3 linked regions of the Stegostoma tigrinum genome follow. The protein of the gene in region 3 purifies or fractionates together with the protein of the main gene of each other region. This does not show direct contact. Links are inferred from orthologs where the notes say so. Each region holds a gene or a part of one and is shown on either strand. Other genes may lie near its edges. The genes, in order: tubgcp3, tubgcp6 and nedd1.

Region 1 (6,930 bases), on a different chromosome or scaffold from region 3:
AATTATTACATTGCATCAGCTTCCCTTATTACTTGCTGTTATGCATAGTAACCTTTTGCATTTCATGCATTAGCACACCCAGATATCTCTGCATAACAAGAACTCTGCAATCCTTCATAATCTCTATAATCTGCCCTTTTTCCCCAACTTTTGCTCCCAAAATGGATAATTTCACTTTTCCCACTTAAAACTCTATTTGTCAGACCTTTGTCCACTTGTTTAAGTTATGTCCTCTGTCTACTTCATAATTTACTTTGCTAACTACTACAGTGTCATTAGCAAATTTAGCAACCATATCTTTCATCCTTTCCTTCAAAATAACTGACACAAATTGTAAAAGGTTGAGATCACAACTTGTTTCTGGTACACTACTTGTTGCATCTTGCAAACCTGAAAGTGACACATATATGCTTATTGTCGCCTGTTAGCCAGCCAAGCTCTTATGTATGCCAATGCATTCCTTTCCCCACACTGTGATATTATATTTTCTGCAAAAACATTTGACACAGCACCTTACAAATGCTATTTGGAAAACCAACTGCAACACATCCGCTAGATCTGTTTTCTCCACAGCATGTTAACCTCCACAAACAGTTACAACAAATTGTTTAAAAATGATTTCCCTTGGACAAAGCCTTGTTGACACATTCCGATTATCTTAAATTTTTCAAACAGCCACACTAACATATTCATTAATAGCTTCCAGCATCCTCTTTTTGACATACGTTAAGCTAAATGGCATGCACTTTCCTGCTTTCTGTTGTCAACTTTGAATAAAGAAGCTCCACTTGCTATTTTCTAATCAAATGAAACTTCAAGTCGAGAGAATTTTGGAAAAACAAAATAGCATGTTAATTACCTTGCTAGCTATTTCCTGTACGTCCCTAGGATAAGGTTCACAGTACCTAGGAATTGGATAGTCTGCAGATCCAACAATTTACTCAGTACAACACACTTGATATAACTTTCCAAAGGTCCCTTCTGTTTTCCATTTTTGATATACACACATTTCTGACATGTTATTCGTACCCACTTGTGAAAAGTACTGCAACATTACCTGCTTAAGTAATCTGTCATTTCCTTATTTTTGATAAGTAATTCCCTAAACTGACTTCCTTAGTGCCAACAATTTTCTTTTACCATTTTTCCTTTCTAAATATCTATAGAAACCCAATGTTTGTTCTTACATTTCTATCTAGCTTTCTCACATATTCCAAATTTTCTAGTTATACAGTCTGTTTGTGACACCACAAGTGGAAAAGTGCAAACAGTTTGGTCATGCTTATGAAAGAATGTAACTGGATTAAAACAGTGCAAAGTTAACTTGATCAATTCTTGGGATAAAACATTATCCTCTGAGCAAAGGTTCGACATGTCAGCCCTATATCCGTTGGGGTACAGAAGAATGAGAGTTGATCTTAATGAAACATTTAGTATCGACGGAAATTAACAGGGTGGATGCAGGAAGGATAGTTCCACTTGTAGGAGAGATTGGAGCCAGCAGGCACAGGTTAAAAATGAGGATTCTCTCAATTATGACGCAGAATAGAAGAATCTCTTAAAAGAAGCTTAGTCCCCAGATTTCTCTTCCCCAAAAAGGGGAAGCACAATCACTAAATATTTTTAAGGCTGAGTTAGACAGATTCTTGACTGAAAAGGAAATCAACAGGTTTAGGGATGAGACAGAAAGGTGGTGCTGAGGCCAGGCGGAACAGCCATGGTGTTACTGATGGTGGAACATGCTTGCTTAACCAAAATGTCCGAATTTGTATGTTCACTGCAACTCAAAGTGAAATTTCTGGTGCCAGGGAATGAGTTCATATAACTTATAGGGAACATGATATTAATTATAGATTAAGTAGTAATGGACAACAGAAAGCAATAATCTAAAATGAAGTTTCCAAATTGGAGGGCAACTAATTTCAATGAGATGAGGAGAATCTAACCAGATAAAACTGGAAGAGTAATATGAATGAATGATAAACAAAAAGTCTTAGGAAAAATATCTTTGCATACTGAATGCTCATAATCTGGATCCCACTGTGTATGAGGGTCATAGAAGTGGAGATAACTAGTAATTTCACAAGGAATAAGGATGGCAATAAAGAAAAGTAAACCAGCAAAGCTACAGGGACAGAAAAAGGGAACAGAATTGATTGGATTACTCAATGAAGACCAGTATTGTTCTGATACACCAAACAACTTTCTTGTCTTACAACTGAATGTTAACTTTGCCTTTTCTCCAGCTACATTCGATTTACCCAGATTCTGTTTAGATTCCAAAAACCTGAACTCTTTCTTCTGATACCATCTCCTCAATTTAATTACTCCTCCTATCCCCGGTGATACTACAGGACTCTCACTATCCCTATATTGTCTGGCACTATTATAATCGTGAGCAACCCAATCTCTACTCAGCTGGATTTCCGATTGGAGGACTCGAATTTTACTCCTCTCAATTTCATTGCCGCCAACGTGAGAAAAACCTTCTAATCTTGTCCCTCTCCAACATCCTTGACGTTGCTGTACGCTTAGCCCCTCAAGAAAACAAGCCACCATTCGAGCCGCTCAATTCCACCTGCAAACATAACCCATCTAACGCCTCCCCTGCACGTCCGTACATCATTCCCTCACTCCACCTGGGCTTGTTTTTCATTCTCACCAGGGCTGATTCGCTGTCGACACATCCCTACCTCACTGTCGCCAGGCCATGCCAGGCCAGACCAGCAAGTCTCCGGCTTCACAACCTCCAGCCCCCGGCCCTACTCACCCTCATTGCGGCCCAGGATCCGGCAGCACAGGCTTTGCAACAGTAGATTCGGGGACTTGTGATCCACAGTCGCCATCGCCGGGCCTCCCACTGTCCTGTTCTAGGAGACCCAGTTCCCGGGTCGGAGCCGTTGCCTCGGCTTTTCCACAGTTCGCCCAGGTTCAATCCCGGTTCCGTCTTAGCTCCGACCCGGCGCCAAGGGCGCCATTTTTTTAAGAGCCCGCGGCATTGCAACGGAACTACAAACATCCACTTCCTGGTCAGGGGGTACAATCCGCTGCGAGGAGATGGGCGGGGTCTGAGGACCAGACGCAAGCACGGCGCCGAGTAGGTGGAGTCAGGAGGGTGCAGCGGCTGGCCAGAACGTTGCGTGGGCGGGGCTATGTGATGGGAGCGTGGTCAGGATAGGGTTAGCGGCGAGTGGGCGGAGACAAGTAACAATGGATGGGTGGGGTCCTGTGCAGGGGCGGGGACGGAGTGGGAGGTGGAAGTAGTATCGTAGATAATAGGAACTGCAGATGCCGGAGAATCCGAGATAACAAAGTGTGGAGCTGAATGAACACCGCAGGCCAAGCAGCATCTTAAAAGCACAAAAGCTGACGTTTCGGGCCTAGACCCTCTGATTAAGGGTCACGGCCCGAAATGTCAGCCTTCCTGCTCCTATGATGCTGCTTGGCCTGCGGTGTTCATCCCGCTCTACATCTTGTTATCTGGGATGCGGAAGTGTGGGGAAGAAGGTGGGTCCAATGATGACGGGCGCGGAGCATGGAGTGGGCGGGGCCAGTATGGACGGCGCAGTCGGACAGCGGTGAGGTATTAAGATGTGGGCGGGGCAGTCGGAGAGAGGTGAGGTAAAAAGGGACAGAGCCTGCGGACGGGTGGCGGGTCGTTAATAGGGGGGCGGGGCTATCCTTCGGAACCTGGCGATGACTGGGTTGCTCGTGAAGTAGGCCGTGCAATGATATGGCGGGTTATAGGGCAGTGTCGTGGAGTGGGCGGGGTGAAATAGGTAACAGCTGGCACGAGGAAGAGCCTCTCGGTGAAGGCAAGGCTGTGAGGGGAAGATGCCGTTTCCATGGTTACTGGCGGCCTGCTGAGGGTGGAGCTGGCTTTTGTTAATCTTCCCGCAGCCATCGTCCTGTGCCTCACACTTTGAAAATTCGTTGTGAGGTTTTCTTGCTGCGATTTAAACATCCTGCACACTGTTTCCTTGTATTTTGATGCAGGTGTTGTTTTAAGTTTATCCGTGTTGGTTGATGAGCCTGCCATTTATTGCTCATCCCTGATGGTAACAATGGGTCATTTCAAGTGATAGCTCTGTGTCAGTAACATTGCCGTGGGTTTGGAGTCACATTTATAAGGGAGGGAAAGCGAACCTTATCAGAGGTAGCAAGAACTGCAGATGCTGGAGTCAGACTTGACACAGTATGGAGCTGCAGAGGCGCAGCAGGCCAGGCAGCATTGGTGTCGTCAACTTTCCTGCTCCTCTGATGCTGCTTGGCCAGCTGTGTTCATCCAGCTCTACACCTTGTCATCTCTGACAATAAATGCTCATCTTAAAAATAGTGCAATGAAATCTTTTACGTAACCCTTAGAAGACAAATGCGTGTTCAGTTTAACAACTCAAAGTCATACAGCACAGAAACAGGCCCTTTGGTCCAACCTGATGAACGTAATCTCAAACTAAATTAGCCCCTCCTGCCAACACCTCTGAAAAGCTGTTATGTCCAGTGTGAAGCACTCTTACTTCAGACTTGAGTAGAAATTTAGTCTTAAGAGGTCACAGCTGGACATCTAGGTCAGCCAGCCCTGGTCAGTACAATAGAATTCCTTCTGTAAAGGGCATGAATGAACCACAAACCAATAGTTGTACGGCAACCTTTTCTCTCTTTCACATTAACTATTAATAAATTAATTGGTCACAATTCATTTGACTTCTGAGATTCACTGCCTGCTCAACTTCCAGTACGTACTGATGTAATTGCTGTTAATTTTGTTATTCTCTTCCTCTCTGATTAAGTGCCCTTAATCTTTGTCATTTTAAAATCTGAAACAAATCCAAGGAAAATGACTTACCTCTGATTTGGTTTCAAAATACTTTTAGGCATTGTTACATTTATTGTAATGTAAGTGTCTTGGTGCCTCATTGTCTCATCTCAAGCTTCCCCATGGACATAAAGGTTATTCATGTGACACTTTTACAGAAAGACTTTCATTATAGAAGTTTACTGATTGAAAGCCAAGGGAAGATCAGAGATTCACTTTTCAAAAACTTTCTTGGGGACTGTGTTTTGGAGACATGTGTCACGATCCAGTGCTTTTTTTAAACAGTGAAAATATGTAGGATTGTGTTGTCAATTTAACATATTAGTGTTTCATTGATTAAATACACTGTATTTAAGAATTGCAAAAGTTGTTTTTCAATTTTAATTTACTGAATATTAGATTTAATCCTGATTTTCCTATAATCCTTCACCATATTTAACATATTTTGAAAATTGAGGTTGCTGGTTATCATTAGATAACATCTCTCTCTGCAATTTTAGATATACAATCAGCTGAATTATCTGTTGATTATATTTATTAAATCTGTTGCACCAAAGAAAATCAATAAAAATTAGACTTCACTCCAGAAGCCAGTATGATGAAGTGTTAGTTGGTGTTCTGTTTTGCTTTCTAGCATCTAGGCAGCCACAACACTGGAGACTGACTGTGACAGCATCAAAATAAGCTTGTGATCCCAAATTTTCCAGGGCTCAGTCCCAGAAACATAAGACATGGACAAAAGATCTATTCAGGACCATCTTCCTCCCTAACCCATAAAATTTCAAAAAGCTTCAGTGAACATTTAAGCATCCAGACAAATCTAAGCAAGAACAAAAGTAACATTGCTTTGTACTATGTCTTTAACATATGAAACAGTCTGAAGATGCTTTGTGAAGGATTATCTGTCAATATTTGATACCGATCCATGTAAAGATGTATGGGGGCAAATAATAAAAGGCTTGTCAGGGAGGTAGGAGGAGAAAGGGATGAAGAGGTTTCGAGAGGAGGTTCTAGAGCTGAGGGCCTAGGCATGTTGAAGGTTTCAATGCCAATGGTAGAGTAAATGAAAGAACAAATACATGAGAGACCCGAATTTGAGAATTAGAGGTTGCAGATTGATTCTAAGGCTTGAAGAAGTTATTGGGGTGAGGGGATGTGAGGGATTCAAAAACACTGATAAGAATTTTAAAACCAACAAATTGCCAGACTGAAAACCAGTTTAGCCCATGTGACGTAGTGTTGTTAAATGAACAGCTCCTGTTGCTGTTAGGATATGCACAACAGATTCTTGAACCAGCTGATTCTTAAAGTTCATAGAGACTCAAAAGTCAGGGTTTTAAGACATGGTCCTGGGCAGAATAATATTCAAGACATAGTAGGAACTGCAGATGCTGCAGAATCTGAGAAGGTGTAGAGCTGGATGAACACAGCAGGCCAAGGCACATCAGAGGAGCAGGAAAGCTGACATTTCGGGCCTATAACCTTCTATTCAAAATGGTCACATTTATGGCTTATAGAGACGTTTAAAAAGAGGTTTTTGTAACATTGTGGTGAAGGAGATCTTGAAGAAGGAGTCATACAGCACAGAATTAGACCAACTTGTCTGTGTCAACCAGGCATCCCAATCTAACTTAGTTTTGTTTGCCAGCAGTTGGTCCATATCCCTCTAAATCCTTCCTATTTACATACTTGTCTGGATGTCTGTTAAATGTTGCAATTGTACGCAATTTCATCTGGCAGCCGTTCTGTACACGCATTACCCTGTGTGTTTAAAAAATAGTTACCTCTCAGGTCAGTTATAAATCTTTATCCTCTCACCTTAAACCTATGCCCTCTAGTTCTTGTGTGATTTTGAAAATATCAGCAAAGTATTCGCCAGGAAGTGAAGTACCTGTTCATTTGGTGAACACCTGAATCTGCTTTGTTCTTGTTTCATACTGCACACCCTGTGGGATATATCATCTTTCCATCAGAGGAGATGGTAGTAGAGGTATGGCAGCAATTGGGACTTCCATGCTCAAATATTGATATTTAACAGCTGATAACCATCCCTTGCAGGCAATTTCCTTGTTGCTGGGGAGATAATGGCCTTTTAAACTTCAAATAATAGGGTT
Region 2 (7,987 bases), about 25 Mb from region 3:
TTTTTTCACAAATTGGATTCCCTTGGACAAAGTGATAGGCAGCTATACCCAGAAAAGTAAATGCCCTGGTAGCAACAAAAAAATTAGAGTTAGAGTCATAGGGGAGGTGAACATGTAGATTTTATTTTTCATTCCAAATCAAGATTTAGACAGGTTACGTAAATTATGTACATCAATTTCCTAATGACAAAAAGAACATTCAGTATTACCTCAATTACAATCACAATTTTAGAAGTATTTCATTTTCAGGTTTACCATTCTGAAGTGCAAAATATACAGCCAACACAAATGAGAAGCGGAAACTTTGAAAATGAAGAAAACAGGTGCAGGGGTAACAAGGTGTAGAGCTGGATGAACTCAGCAGGCCAAACAGCATCTTAGGAGCAGAAAAGGTCATGATCTCAGATTCTCCAACATCTGCAGTTCCTATTTCTGTAAAACAGGAGCAGGAGCAAGTCATTCAGCAACCCCCCAACCATTCAATATGATCACATCTGATCACCAACTCCATACGGTGCTCCCCCTTTCCCCTTAAACACTTTGATCCCTTTAGCGAAATCAACACCTTCTTGGAAACTTTCAATGCTTTGGCCTCAACCACTTTCTGAAAGAGAGGATTCTACATGCTCACCACTCTCTGGGCCAAAAAATTTCTAATCTCAGTCCTAAATGGCCTACCCATATCATTAGACCGTGAGAGATAAGGGGAACTGCAGATGCTGGAGAATTCAAGATAATAAAGTGTGAAGCTGGATGAACACAGAAGGCCAAGCAGCATCTCAGGAGCACAAAAGCTGACGTTTCAGGCCGAGACCCTTCATCAGAGAGGGGGATGGGGTGAGTGTTCTGGAATAAATAGGGAGAGAGAGGGAGGCAGACCGAAGATGGAGAGAAAAGAAGATAGGTGGAGAGGAGAGTATAGGTGGGGAAGCAGGGAGGGGATAGGTCAGTCCAGGGAAGACAGACAGGTCAAGGAGGTGGGATGAGGTTAGTAGGTAGGAAATGGAGGTGCGGCTTGAGGTGGGAGGAAGGGATGGGTGAGAGGAAAAAACAGGTTAGGGAGGCAGAGACAGGCTGGGCTGGTTTTGGGATGCAATGGGGGGAGGGGATGAGCTGGGCTGGTTGCGTGATGCAGTGGGGGGAGGGGACGAACCTCCCTCACCCCCATCCCAGGCCCCAAGATGACTTTCCACATTAAGCAGAGGTTCACCTGCACATCTGCCAATGTGGTATACTGTATCCATTGTACCCGGTGTGGCTTCCTCTAAATTGGGGAAACCAAGCGGAGGCTTGGGGGACCGCTTTGCAGAACATCTCCGCTCGGTTCGCAATAAACAACTGCATCTCCCAGTCGCAAACCATTTTAATTCCCCCTCCCATTCTATAGATGACATGTCCGTCATAGGCCTCCTGCAGTGCCACAATGATGCCACCCGAAGGTTGCAGGAACAGCAACTCATATTTTGCTTGGGAACCCTGCAGCCCAATGGTATCAATGTGGGCTTCACCAGCTTCAAAATCTCCCCTTACCCCACCGCATCCCAAAACCAGCCCAGCCTGCCTCTGCCTCCCTAACCTGTTCTTCCTCTCACCCATCCCTTCCTACCATCTCAAGCCGCACCTCCATTTCCTACCTACTAACCTCATCCCACCTCCTTGACTTCTCCGTCTTCCCTGGACTGACCTATCCCCTCCCTACCTCCTCACCTATACTCTCCTCTCCACCTATCTTCTTTTCTCTCCATCTTCGGTCCGCCTCCCCCCTCTCCCTATTTATTCCAGAACTCTCACCCCATCCCCCTCTCTGATGAAGGGTCTCGGCCTGAAATGTCAGCTTTTGAGCTCCTGATGCTGCTTGGCCTTCTGTGTTCATCCAGCTTCACACTTTATTATCATTAGACTGTGATTCTTGATTCTGAACTTCCCAATCATTTGGAACATCCTTCATGCATTTATTCTGTTTAGTCCCACTAGAGTTTTATAGGTTCCAACGTGATCCCTGCTCATTCTCCTAAACTCCAGTACATATAGTCCTAGCCGAACACGTCGCTCTTCATACATCGGTCCCGCAGTCCAGGGCTCAGCCTAGTAAATTGAAACAAAGAACTTCAGACCGATCTCTGAAGCAAAAATAGAAATTGCTCGCAAAACTCAGCAGGTCTGGTAGCATCTTTTCTGAAAAAGAGGCACCAAACCCAGAACAATAACTCTCTTTCTTCAGACGGATACAATCAGTGAGGTAAACCTGTTGTGTTGCAGTCCCTCCGTTGATTGAACATCCTTCCTCTGATCAGGAGAGCAAAACTGCACACGTTTCCACACTGATGAAGGGTCTAGGCCCGAAACGTCAGCTTTTGTGCTCCTGAGATGCTGCTTGGCCTGCTGTGTTCATCCAGCCTCACATTTTATTACCACGTTTCCACACTGTCGGGGATTCTGTCATCTTTGATTACCCCACCAATTGGCTGTGCAATTGTGAAAAGCTGGGGCGAAATTATTACGGTTTGCAGCCCCTTACCTCCCAATTAGGGGGATGTATTACACATTGACAAGACGCCGACATCCTGTCGTAGACATAATGGTCATATATACCTCTGCGCGGTATCCGTGAAGGGCACATTACGGGAGGAAGGCTAGACGCAGCATCACTCCATCCACGAAGAAGCAGTTGGTTCTGATGAAAGATTCACCGGGCTCGAAACGTTAACTCTGCTTTCTCCCCCAAGGTGTTGCCAGACCTGCTGCGTTCCTGCAGCAACTCGCGTTATAACCACTGAGGCTTTAGCCAACGGGAGGATCCAGCACAGGAAGAGGCCAGAGCAGAGAACGCTGGAACCGTTCAGCAGGCAGCCCTCTCCGTGTGGAGAGTAACGGGAGTTTTCAATATCAGCTCAGAGACAGGCCCCTCACGTCTAACCGGAGAGCTGTGCTATACTACGCTACGAAAACTCCATTCCAGGAGCATTGTACCAACCAGCCGCCGCTCTCCAACCGTCAAACAGCAGCTGTTCCCCGCCACCGTGTCTCCGCCTCCTTCACCCCATCAACCAGTCGAATAACTCAACCCTCGGCGCGCTGTGTTACTATTGGACGGTCGGTTAAGACTCCTCCTTCCACTGGTTGCATCTGCTGCCAATCAGATATCATTTCCGCTGGAGTCGCGGGTGTTGACCTCCGGAAGTGCTGATCTCTGAGAAGTTGCGTTGCGGGTTTGTATCATCGTCTTTGTCCGGCTCGCGTGCCTTACGTTTGGAGAGTAGCAACTGCTAATGCAACATGTGCGATGGAGCAGTGTTGTATTTCTCTGAAATGTTTTGCACTGTACTCGTGAGGACTTTTACTTTTGAAGTACACTTTTAGAGAAGGGGTAAATAGATCTGAGACAGTAAGGGTGGGAATTCATCCGAGGGGAAAGTCGTATCAGACTCGAAATGTACACCGTGTTCCCTTCTGCGCATATGTCAGCCGTGATGTAAAGGTGCTGGTGTTGGACTAGGGTGTACAAAGTCAGACGTCGCAAGCTTTCAAAGCGCTGCTCCTTCGTTTTCACCTGAAGAAGGAGCCGCACTCCAAAACCTTATGACTTCAGATAAACCTGTTGGACCATAACCTAGTATTGTGGGACTTCTGACTTTGTCGACAAATTTCTTCAGCACTTTGTTTTACTTTCAGATTGCCAGCATCTGGAGTATTTTGCTTTTATTTTAGTAGAATCTTCGGCCTTTTCTTTTGCCTTATCCAAGTTTCACTATACCAGAATTAGGTTTTATTGTCATGTATATTCAAGTACAAATGTATAGAAAAAGTGTACGATGTTACCACACAATGCCATCTTAGGTACAAAGTACCTAGTTCCAAAGTTTAAATATTAACATAGGTTAGCTACAAAATAGACAAAGTTCTACATTTCAGTTTTTCATAGTATAAACATGGAAAATAAAGAAAAATTCTGTGGTAAACATTTTAGTCCTCTATAACCTGCATTTATTCCACACTGGGGGCTTTCCACACGTGTGTCATACTCTCATTTATGCTAGGCTGCCATCGGTGACAGTTTGACCTGGCTAGGCCCCTGACTGCCAGCTGCCCTGTTCCAAGCCCTCAGTCCGATCGCTGTCCTATTCCTGTCGATTGTCCTTCTCTGCCCTGGTCTGATGATCTTCCCGATCTGGGCCCTCAGCTGCTGCAATACTGTTACCACTGGTCTCTCTGTAAGTTCTAGCTTTTTAAGAAGAGCAACTGCACTGTCATTTTATATATCTGTTGGGGACTTTTATGATGTTTTTTAAAAAGTGTGATTTCTGTACAATTGTGCCGATTTCAGGATCACTTGCTTCTTTCTTGGATCACAGAAACTGCAGCTCAGGGGAAATACACAAAAACTGTATACATACATGGGTGCAGGAAATGCAGTTGAAGGCATTTTCAATCACTAAAGGGGGAAAGTTACAATCCTTGAAACAGGAGGACATCGGGTTCTTCCTGGACACCTCTGTCTCCGTCACTGGTAACTGCTTCAAAACTGACATGCCCCCCTGACTTCCACAGCTATCTTGACTACACCTCCTTTCACCCACCTTCCAGCAAGCATGTCATCCCCTACTCCCAACTCCTCTGCCTCTGCCACATCTGCTCCCAAGATGGGGCGATCCACTCCTGCACATCCCAGATGCCCTTCTATTTCAAGGATTGTAACTTGTCCCCTCTGGCGATCAAAAATGCCCTCAACCGCATCTCTTGTGTTTCCTGCGCCTCTGCCCTCACATCTCTTCCCCCCCCCCATGCCCCCCCCAGCAAAAGTAAAGACAGAATCCCCCTTGTCCTCACATATCGCCTCACTAACCTCCGCATCCAAAGTATCATTCTCTACCACTTTTGCCACCCACAATCAAAGAGATATTTCCCTCCTCACCCCATCTGCCTTTCGTAGGGTTAGTAGTCGTGAGAGTAGTCCATCTCACCCCGGCACCCTTCCCTGCAACTGCAAGAAGGGCTACATCTGCCCCTATGTCATCTTCCTTCTCCCCCACCATCACTTCCATGCAAGGCACAAAACAAACCTTGCACATTAGACAGGGGTTCATCTCCACATCCATCTCTACTGCAGCCACTGCTCCTGATGTGGCCTCCTGTACATCGCTGACACCAAGTGGAGACTCTGAGACTATTTTGTAGAGTTTCTGTGCTCTGTATGTGACAAATGACAACACCTTCTGGTTATGAACCATTTTAGCTTCCCCCCTCCTACTCCCTGGGTTATATGTCCATCCTGGGACTCCTCCAGTGTCACTGACTCCACCGCAAACTGGAGGAACAGCATCTCATATTCAGCTTGGGGAGCCTACATTCTGATGGCCTGAACTTGGATTTCACTAGTTTTAAAACCTCCCCACCCTCAGCCTCATCCTATGTCCAAGCCTCCCTCTCATCCCTCGCCTCCTTGACCTGACGCAACCTGTCCATCTTCTCTCCCACCTATCCACCCCACCACTCCCTACCTACAAACACCATCGCCATCCCACCTACCTTCCCCAGACCCACCCCTCCTCTATTTATTTCTGAGCTCCCTTCACCCTCCCCATTTCTGCAGAAGGGTCCCAACCCGAAATGTCAACCTTCCAGCTCCTCTGATGTTGCCTGGCCTGCTGTGTTCCTCCAGCTCCACACTGTTATCTTTGATTAAGAATAAGCGTGTTTCATTAACGCATCCAATGGAGAGATTGAGCACACCCGACTCTCAAAATTGGTGAGAAGTTTACTGGAATATGTCCTGCAAGGAGATTTAGGTTTGGAAGAAATTAGTTCACAGCTTTTTGCACGTAGTTGTCTGGGAGGTGGTGTTCAATAAAAAGTTCCGAGTAACGGTACAGTGTTTAGCACATGTGAGGTATTTTGTTTGAGATTTAGCCAAAGAAATTAAGAATCCGAGTGACAAGAAAAGGTCAGTTAACAATTAAAACGAAATGGGGTGCAAAACATGACATTTCACGGATCTTCCACATCTCATTCCTAAACTGCTTTTGCTTGAGACAGGCAGAAGGTGAGTTTGAAAAAATGTATCTTCAAATTTAATTGAAACGTCAAATCTTCGACCCTTATAAATTTACATTTGCCTCTATCTAACACACACAATCCTCTAAGGATATGATAGTTTAGATGTGGGCAGGTTGTTTCCTCTTGTGGGGACCCTACGGTCACAGTTTGTAATCTCTGAATAAGCGATTGCATATTCAAAATGAAGATGAGGAGGAATTTCTTCTGGGAGTTGTGAATTTGTGGCATTCTTTACTGCCGCAGAGTGTATTCAAGGTTGCATGTTGAGTATTGAGGATATTCAAGAATGAGAGATTTTCTTTTGATTAGCAAGGGAATGGACGTCATGGGGAAAAGCCAAGAAAGCTGATTGATGATTATCAGATCTGACGTGATTCCATTGAATGGTAGAGCAGACTTGATGGGCTGAATAGCCTACTTTTGCTTCCACATCTTCTGATCTTCTGCTCTTAAAATATATTTTAATGTTAAAATTGTCACTCAATCCAAAATAAATCAATGTATTTTTATTTCTTCAGTCATGGCATTGAGAACAGGGTTGATCTACAATGAACAGATGAAGAACTACAGCCTGCTGTGGGATTTGTAAGTGCTGTAATATGTTGTTTTATGTTTCTAAAGCAGTTAATACTCTTGCTTTAAATTGAAATTTTTAGGGAGCACTTTAAACAGGTAAATGTTTAAACATAATCAATTCTTGATTTGACATGAAGCAAATTTAAATTTAAGCAGTTCAGTGCACCATTCTCCCCTAAGGTCTTTCCAGTGTGATACAGTTGAATGGGACCGTGCTTGACTCCTGGTTTTAATTTTGTCTACTTAATGCAAATCACTTTCAAAGCATGACAGTTGGTGTTCTCACTGGAATAACAATCCAGTGATACCTGTCAATGATCTCGAGGCACTGGTTCAAATCCCACTTTGGCAGTGGGCAGAATTTAACTGTAACTAATAAAACATGCTGGAATTAAAAGCCTCTTTGCATAATCGTAGTGTTGTAAAAACCCAGTTTGGTTCACTCATATCCTTTAGGGAAGGGCATCCTTGCCCAATTTCATGTACAAGTAACTCCAAATCCACAGTAATGTGTTTGACACTTAACTGCTCTCTGAAATAGCCTTGCAAGCCAATTGGTTCAAGGATAATTAGGATTGGGAAGCAATTGCCGATCTTCCCAGTGATGCACAAGTACCATCATCCCACTCATGTCATTACCTTTGATATTCTTTGAGAATTTGTCTTTAATCCCTCTGTTTCTCATCTACATTCTGCTCCATGACAATATGACCTGAAAGCCCAGCACATAATCTGCCAGTTGGCTGTTCCTTACCACCTCCTATCATGATTTTTCCACTGTTGTTAAATTATCAGACTGTTTATCTAACATCTGGAACTAGATAACTAAATATTGGGAAAACTGAAGTAATTGTGCATAGCCTACTAAATTGAGGTATTTTAGCGAGGATAAGTATTATGTACCTGAAACCCAGCAAGTCTGAATTTCTTTCTACCTCACTGTTTAAATACTTGGGTGTCAAACAAGTTCTGAAAAGATTTACCTTGATGTTGCTGGGACTGGAGGGTTTGCATTATCAGGAGAGGCTGGATAGGTTGGGACTTTTTTCACTCAAGTGTGGGAGGTTGAGGGGTGATCTTATAGAGGTTTATAATATCAGGAGGGGCATAGTTAGGGTGAATGGCAAAAGTCTTTTTTCCCCTAGGGTGGGACAGCTCAAAACTGGGGACATATTTTTAAGGTGAGAGTAGAAAGATTTAAAAGGGACCTGAAGGGCGACTTCTCCCCCTACACACACACAGGTTGCTTCATATGTGGAATAAACTGCCAGAGGAAGTGGTAGATGCAGGTACGGTTACACCATTTAAAAGATATTTTGACAGGTACATGAACAGGAAGGGGTTAGAGGAATATGGG
Region 3 (7,595 bases):
CAATTGATGAGAAGTGCAGGATAAACTGTTGGCACTTTAAGTTGATAAAGTACCAGGATAAGAAACATCCAAGGATATTGAAGGAAATTAAGATGGAATTAAAGTGCCAAGCATGTTTCAATTTTTCCTGGATTTGGGGATGGTCCATGTCCCAAACAGGTTGTAAAAAACCGCCCAGCAATTACAGATGAGTCTGTTGAACAGTGTGGTGGGAAAAATCTAGAAAAGAAAAAAAATCAAATTTTTCCATCACATGGAAAACATGGGTTGATTCAGAAGAGTTTGCACGCAGTTTTTAAGGGAAAATTCTGTCTATATTGCTGGTGTTTTTTGAAGAGGTAACAGAAAGGGTTGACACATGACTGTTGATGAGGTATACAGGGACTTTCAGAAGGTGTTTGATACAATGCCATACAACAGATTTGTAAGCTCAGTTATAGGTTATGGATTAAACAGTAGAGTAGCAACATGGATATAAAATTAGCATAGTCCATGGATATTTTTCGGGCTGGTGGAAGGCTTGTAATGGAATTTTCCAGGAGTTGGTATTGGGACACTTGCTTTTCCTAACATATATTATTGATCTGCACTTTGGTGTGAAGCAAGCAATTTCAAAATTTGCAGATGACGCCAAACGTGCAAGAATTGTAAACTGTCAGATGGACAGTGTGGAACTCCAAAAGAACATTGACAAGTTTGTAAAGTACTGTGGGCTAATAAATGATAGATGAAGTTCAACACAGGGAAGTGTGAAATGAGAACTTCGGTACACGGACATTACATTATAAAATAAAGGATAGTATTCTAAAGGACGTGCAGGAGCAGAGAAACCTGGGTGAATATGTACATAAGCCATTAAAGGCAGTAGGACAGGTAAAGAGAGCTGTTAATAAAGGATACAGTATTCTAGTTTTCATTAAAAAATACAGGCATAGGATACAGGCCAGGGAGATTATGATGAACTGAGATAATGGGAACTGCAGATGCTGGAGATTCCAAGATAATAAAATGTGAGGCTGGATGAACACAGCAGGCCAAGCAGCATCTCAGGAGCACAAAAGCTGACGTTTCGGGCCTAGACCCTTCATTATGATGAACTGTTTAGATATAAGACACTGTTAGACCTTAGCTGAAATATTGTGTACAGCTGTGGGCATTAAATTATAGGAAGAATGAGAATGCATTTAAGAGAGCACAGAGGACGTTTATGAGAAGGTTTCAGGGATATGGCTTCAGGTCTGAGGAAAAATTGGAGAAGTTGTGTCTATTTCCTTTGGCAATGAGAAGGCTAAGAGGAAATTTGATAGGTCTGGACAGAGTAAATAGCAAGAAACTGTTCCCATTTGGATTGAGAGCCAGTATATGGATTGAGAACCAGAGGTTTTAAAGTGTTTTACAAAAGAAACAAATGTGAAGTCAGAAAAAGCTTCTTCTCACCATGACTGATTAGGGTCCAAAATGCATGGCCTAAGATATGTTGGATGCTGGTTCAATTGAGGTATTCAACAGGGTATTAGATGATTATTTAAAGAGATACAATGTGCGTTGTTACGGGGGAAAAAACAGGGTATTGGCACTAAGATAAAATGCTCAGTGAGTCAATGCAGACATGATAGGTCAAATAGCCTCCTTCAACACCGTAACAATTTTGAGATTCTGTGAGGAATAGATGCCAGCTAAGGGAAAGTGTACAATATGCTAACTGTGAAGAGTGAACACAAAAGTACATACCTGTGTGACAACAGAGTGATGGAACACGAGGGTAATCAATACACCGATGACTAACAGTAGCCAAGGGAAACACCCATAGTTCCAGAAGTTTACAAGATCTGGTCAAATTGCCAAAATGATAAATGGACTCTTTGAAATCTGCATTTGTAAATTTTATGATCCCTATCTCTATATAACTAATCTTGTGATTACCCAACGTTTATGAATTTCAAATTGCAGCACTTGAGCTACCTTGGGAAAAACTATTATCTTTTAGATGATGTGTGAGTGATAATGGAAACTGCAGATGCTGGAGAATCCAAGATAACAAAGTGTGAAGCTGGATGAACACAGCAGGCCAAGCAGCATCCCAGGAGCACAAAAGCTGATGTTTCGGGCCTAGACCCTTCATCAGAGATGCTCTCTGATGAAGGGTCTAGGCCCAAAACGTCAGCTTTTGTGCTCCTGAAATGCTACTTGGCCTGCTGTGTTCATCCAGCTTCACACTTTGTTATCTTTTAGATGATGTTCCTTTAAGAGCTAAATATGTAAATGAGTCAAGTTACCAGATGGTTTCAGAGGCTCACAGCATTGCTCAACTCTTAACACAAGCTATGTCTAAAGAATATTCTCTACTGAATTTATTAGTTCAGCTGTCAATAACACCACCAGAGATCTCTATGTAAACAATCCCCATATCTCATTTGCACTACATTTAGATAGCACAAAATATTCTTCCATTAAGTCTGCTTTCTCTCCAGGCATGCTGCCAAACCTGCTGAGTTTCTCCAATTTTTTTTGTTTTGGTTTTTCAGCTTCTGCAGTTCTTTCCCTTATTATTACATCCTTTTGCGCTCTAGAGGTTAATACATGGAACAGCCAATGTAAGCTTTTATTGAGGTTAAAAGGCTACAAGAGCACATCCCAGCAATGACCATCAAGGACTGGCTACACCTCACAGTATCGCAGAATTGTGGTAGTGCTGAAGGAGGCGATTCAGCTCATCGCACTTGCATCAGTTCCACTACGGAGTGCCAATTTCTGCCTTTCCCCACTTTGCTAGAAAATGTAAAAAAAATCTCTGGACACTTCTTGTCCACAATACCTGTGATGTGCTTTTTGGTGCTGTAAGCTTTCAGAGAACCTAGGTACACTGTAATTGCTAAGTCCATCTATTATCTGGGTTATCAGCATCTGAAATATTACTGGGGTATTAATAAAGTTAGAGGATACAAGAGTTGTATGATATGGGCTTTCATGTGATGAGCCAGAGATTTCTCTCACTCTGGAGGTCATGCAAAATTCCCAGTACCTTCTTTTTATAAAAGAAGGTTTGCTGGGTAGGCAATTGATCTCACCCTGTCTATACAATCCACAACACAAGAATTGGGAAAGAGTCTGCTATGTTCACTGCAGTTCCTTCCCAGTCACAAATATGGGCTGTGTTGATTTGTTGTGCTTTGGGGCCTGTGCATTAGCTGACCTCCAGCTGCATGAGCCGGTTATGAAATAGTACAAAAACAAAGTTGCTGGAAAAGCTCAGCAGGTCTGGGAGCATCTGTGGAGGAGAAAACTGAGTTAACAGTTCGGGTCCGGTGACACTTCCTCTGTTTTTGTTCCTGATTTACAGCATCTGCAGTTCTTTTGGTTTTTATGTAGTAGCACGCTAAGGTGTGCACTAAGCCTGTGTGGCTGGGCAGTCAGTATGAACAGGTATGCACTGAGTATGAGATAGGAAGAACTGCAGATGCTGGAGACAGAGATAACAGTGTGCGCGTACTGGGCATATAATGGTGTGCACAATACTTAACAGGATTGCACTGGGTATTTACAGGAATGTACTGGGCATGTACTGGTGTGAAGTGGGTATTTACAGGAATGTATTGGGCATGCACTGGGTATTTACAGGAATGCAATGGGCATGCACTGGTGTGTAGTGGGCATTTACAAGAATGTACTGGGCATGTACTGGGTATTTACAGGAATGTACTGGGCATGCACTGGTGTGCAGTGGGCATTTACAGGAATGTACTAGGTATGTACCGGATATTTACAGGAATGCAATGGGCATGTACTGGTGTGTAGTGGGCATTTACAGGACTGCACAGTATTTATGAGCGGCGAAGATCATGAGACAGCGACAAGATGATAATTGGTAACAGACTGCCGGAGAAATTTAGCAGATCTATGAAGACAGAAATGGAGTTAACGTACCGACCTGCGACCTTCCTTCAAAATAGAAGAAGAATGATAAACAGTCTTTAAGGAGCTGAATCGAGAAACATGCACCTGACAGACACTCACCAGCTCGCGACCTCTGGCGCGTCACTAACCAACAGCAAGCGGCGCGCGGCTCCAACTGCTGCCCCTAGGGAAGGGAGGGGCGGAGCCAGCAGAGCTGCGCGCGCACCACGGGAGGATTGCTGTTGGCGCCAAGGCGAGGCTGGAGTCAGGCCTGTCCTGAGCGGTCAGTGAGTGAGGGACCGACCTCGGGTCGGTGATCGGTCAGTGAGGGAGGGAATGAGTGACCGACCTTAGGTTGGTGAGCGGTGAGTTAGTCAGAGAGTGAGTGACCGACCAATCCACCCACCCACCTCCGGCCCGGTGAGCGGTCAGTGAGTGAATGACCCCGACCAAGTGAGAGGTCGCTGAGGAAGTGATCTTGGAAGGAATCGCTAGAGGCCCAGGTCCCCAGCAGAAGCCTCGAAGTGTCAGTCTTGAGCCCATGCCGCTGCTGCTCTAGGCCCCCTGGCCTCCCTCAGATCCCCGGGGGAGCTTCAAGTAAGAGCGGCCTGCCTCACTGAAACTAGCTCGCATCCACCGCCATTCCCACTACCGGTGATCAAGTTCCATCTTCACTTCTAACTTATCAATGTAGAAAAAATTCTGCACCGCCTTGGGAGATTTCGAAGCATTGCAGAGAATGAGTCACTTTCTAGAGCGTAGTCACTGTTGTGATGTTGGAAAGGGGACTGCCAGATTGCGCACAGCGACCTTTCTCAAACAGCAAAGTGATTATCTATGTAATGTAGGTTGTCTTAAATATTGACAGATAACTCAGTTGCTCCTCTTGAAAATGGTGCCATCAGATCTTTTAGAACTACCTGAGCAGGTAGTTCTACCATTAAGTCTCTTTTTAATGTCTTATCTGAATGAAGGCCCTTCAGATAGTGCAACACTGCTTCAAGTACTGGAATGTCAGCTTGTATTTTTGTGCTAATACCTGGAATTGGACTCTGATTCAGAAATGAGTGTTACCAAATGACTCGCAGCTGATGTAAACAATATGACTTTTTTTGTTTTTGTGATTTTGATTGAAGGAATATTTATTAGCGAGCATTTTGAGGAGAATGTAGCTGCTTTGAATTTGGTTGTGTGTTATTTGACTTGTCAGAGAGACAGCCTGTACTTAATGTTCACTAGTTCAATTGGCTGGTTTCTGCTGTAGAGTATTGCCAGCATGTGTGGTTCAATTCCTGCACCAGCTGAACTCTATGAAGGGCTCAATCTTGACCTCACTGCTGTCCAGTGGTGTGGTGAGAGCAGCCATGTGATCCTCTGGGACTATGGAGTCTTAAATTTTACTTAATGTTTTATTGTTAACGTAGCACCATTGAGAGTGCAGCACTCCCATTTGGATTATCAACCAAGATTACAGGCTCACATCTCTGAAATGGAATTTAAATCCCTGTGATTTCTGACTCAAGCAAACACACCTTAGTGGGCTACAATTACAATGTCCACCTCTAATCACAAAACATTGTTAATGCAACAGTTGGGGATCAGTACAGCTGTTTTTGAAACCTGATGAAAATTTGACAAACTTAAATATAGTCAAGACAAAATACGAAATCAATTTAAGTTATAAAACATGAACAAATGCTACTTTATCTACCTATCACACTGACCACTCACCTTTCACTCTACACCCTGCCCACACCTAACTGCTAGCCTAACTCCTCATTCTTCAGTTTTAAAAGCCAGTTATATTGAACTAAAAATGCTAACTCTGTTTCTGTCTGCACAGGCACTGTCAGACCTGCTGAGTTTCTTGAGCACTTTGTGTTTTAAATTAAACACCCTTTATTTTTAGTGCATGTGCACGAAAACTGATGCGTCAAAATTGGCGTTCTCTCTCTTTTAATCTCACCCCAAAGATAGAAATTTATAAAGGTAAATACAAGCAGATTAATTTCAAGGGCATTTACCTCTGTTTGTGGGTTGTGGGTTCAAGTCCTAGTGGACATTTTCCAGACTGTAATCTTTTAATGTACTATCCAGTGGAGTGCTGTAACAGCTGTCTTTTAGATGAGATGTTAAAACAAGCCACTGCCTGTCAACTTAAGATAGATATAAAGGAATGATGGCACAACTTTGAGGAGCAAGAGAGTTCTTTACTGCCTGCTGGCCAGTATTGCAAAAACAGATTTTTCTGGTCATTATCTCACTTTTTTGTGGGAGTTTGCTGTGCACAAATTGGTTTCAATGTTTTGACATTCAAACCTAAATTTAATGACAATTCATAAGTGCTTAAGTGGCTGTGAAGCACTTTGGGACTCCGTAAGATTGTGAAAGGTACAGCATAAATGTAGACCTTTCTGCTTCTTTTGATACTTTTTATTCGCGTGAAAATCTTTTCTAAATTATCTCACTGGGAAAATATTTCTATAAAATTTCCATTATTCACACTATAAATGCACAATAATTTTACAGTGGAAATAAACCTCAGTAATAAATATTTTTCTTAAATTCTTTTTTAAAAAGTCTTCCTTTCATCTCTAATTAGCATTCAAATCCAATACCTATTCAATGTTTGAGAAACTACAGTATATTTTGGTAGCTACCCTATTTCATATGTATCTCATGTTTATATATTGCAGATATACCATGCAGGATAGCATCAAATTAGCCTCATGTGGGGATGACATTAAAATCTGGGATTCGCTTTCAATGACAGTGGTGGAACAGTTTAACCCTCACAAGAAGCCCTGTGAAGTAACTTCCGTTTGCTGGACTGTTGATAATATCCTTTGGAGTTTACTGCTGTCAGTAACTATTCCATTTATGTAATTGTTTGCTATTAGACAGGCCTATGGGAATGAGGATAACTGGCTTGCATTCTAGTTTGATGGGTTCTGAGATAATTGGGATCTGGGAGGTTGAGAGGTGAGCTTCTAAAGACTTATAAAATCATGAGGGGAAGAAATACGGTGAATAGCAAGGTGCACCAGGGAGCGGGAGTCCAAAACTAGGGTGCATGTTTTTAAGGTGAGAGGAGGATGGAGCGTTAGTCCGTGGAATGAACTGCCACAGGAAGTAGTGAATGCAGGTACAGCCTCAACATTTAAAAAAACATTTGGATAAATTCATGATTAGGAAAGATTAGGAGGGGTATGGGCTATACCCCAGCCAAATGTCACTGGCTTGGTTTGGAAACATGAGATAACAAGTTGTAGAGCTGGATGAATACAGCAGGCCGAGCAGGAACACTGACGTTTCAGGCCTAGACCCTTCTTCAGAAATGGGGTGGGGAAGAGGGTTCTGAAATAAACAGGGAGAGAGGAGGACGTGGATAGAAGATGGATAGAGGACAAGATAGGTGGAGAGGAAACAGACAGGTCAAAGAGGCGGGGATGGAGCCAGTAGAAGGAGTCATTGGAAGGATGGTTAGGCTCGCGGTTGAAGAAGTAAGCGCGGAGGTGGTGGAAAAACTGCTGGATGTCCAAATGTGACTGGTATCAGTTGTGCTTCAGGACATGGTCGAGCAGTTTCAAGGACGAAGAGATTATGAGGGCGTTGCAGTGGGAGAGAGATCCACTGAGGTTTTTCCATAGGGAGGAGGGCAACTTCTATAGGCTAGGCATCCACTTGTTTCAGAGATAGTT

What was found.
Region 1: the proteins of nedd1 (region 3) and tubgcp3 purify together in Homo sapiens (affinity purification with mass spectrometry; 3 studies listed by BioGRID and IntAct, with this or other methods). This does not show direct contact. The link is inferred for Stegostoma tigrinum from reciprocal best matches to the Homo sapiens genes NEDD1 and TUBGCP3.
Region 2: the proteins of nedd1 (region 3) and tubgcp6 purify together in Homo sapiens (affinity purification with mass spectrometry; 3 studies listed by BioGRID and IntAct, with this or other methods). This does not show direct contact. The link is inferred for Stegostoma tigrinum from reciprocal best matches to the Homo sapiens genes NEDD1 and TUBGCP6.

What each region holds. Positions count from the first base shown.
Region 1 is NC_081359.1:13,324,918-13,331,847, reverse strand, and holds the start of tubgcp3 (gamma-tubulin complex component 3), read right to left. Parts: upstream 3,048-6,930; 5' UTR 2,847-3,047; coding exon 2,771-2,846; intron 1-2,770. UniProt on the Homo sapiens protein: Component of the gamma-tubulin ring complex (gTuRC) which mediates microtubule nucleation.
Region 2 is NC_081378.1:27,678,623-27,686,609, reverse strand, and holds the start of tubgcp6 (gamma-tubulin complex component 6), read right to left. Parts: upstream 3,020-7,987; 5' UTR 2,593-3,019; intron 1-2,592. Other genes in the region: polyamine deacetylase HDAC10, read left to right, coding at 6,575-6,639. UniProt on the Homo sapiens protein: Component of the gamma-tubulin ring complex (gTuRC) which mediates microtubule nucleation.
Region 3 is NC_081378.1:52,287,797-52,295,391, forward strand, and holds the start of nedd1 (protein NEDD1), read left to right. Parts: upstream 1-4,522; 5' UTR 4,523-4,667; coding exon 4,668-4,738; intron 4,739-4,767; exon of another isoform or gene 4,768-6,285; intron 6,286-6,590; coding exon 6,591-6,733; intron 6,734-7,595. UniProt on the Homo sapiens protein: Required for mitosis progression. Promotes the nucleation of microtubules from the spindle.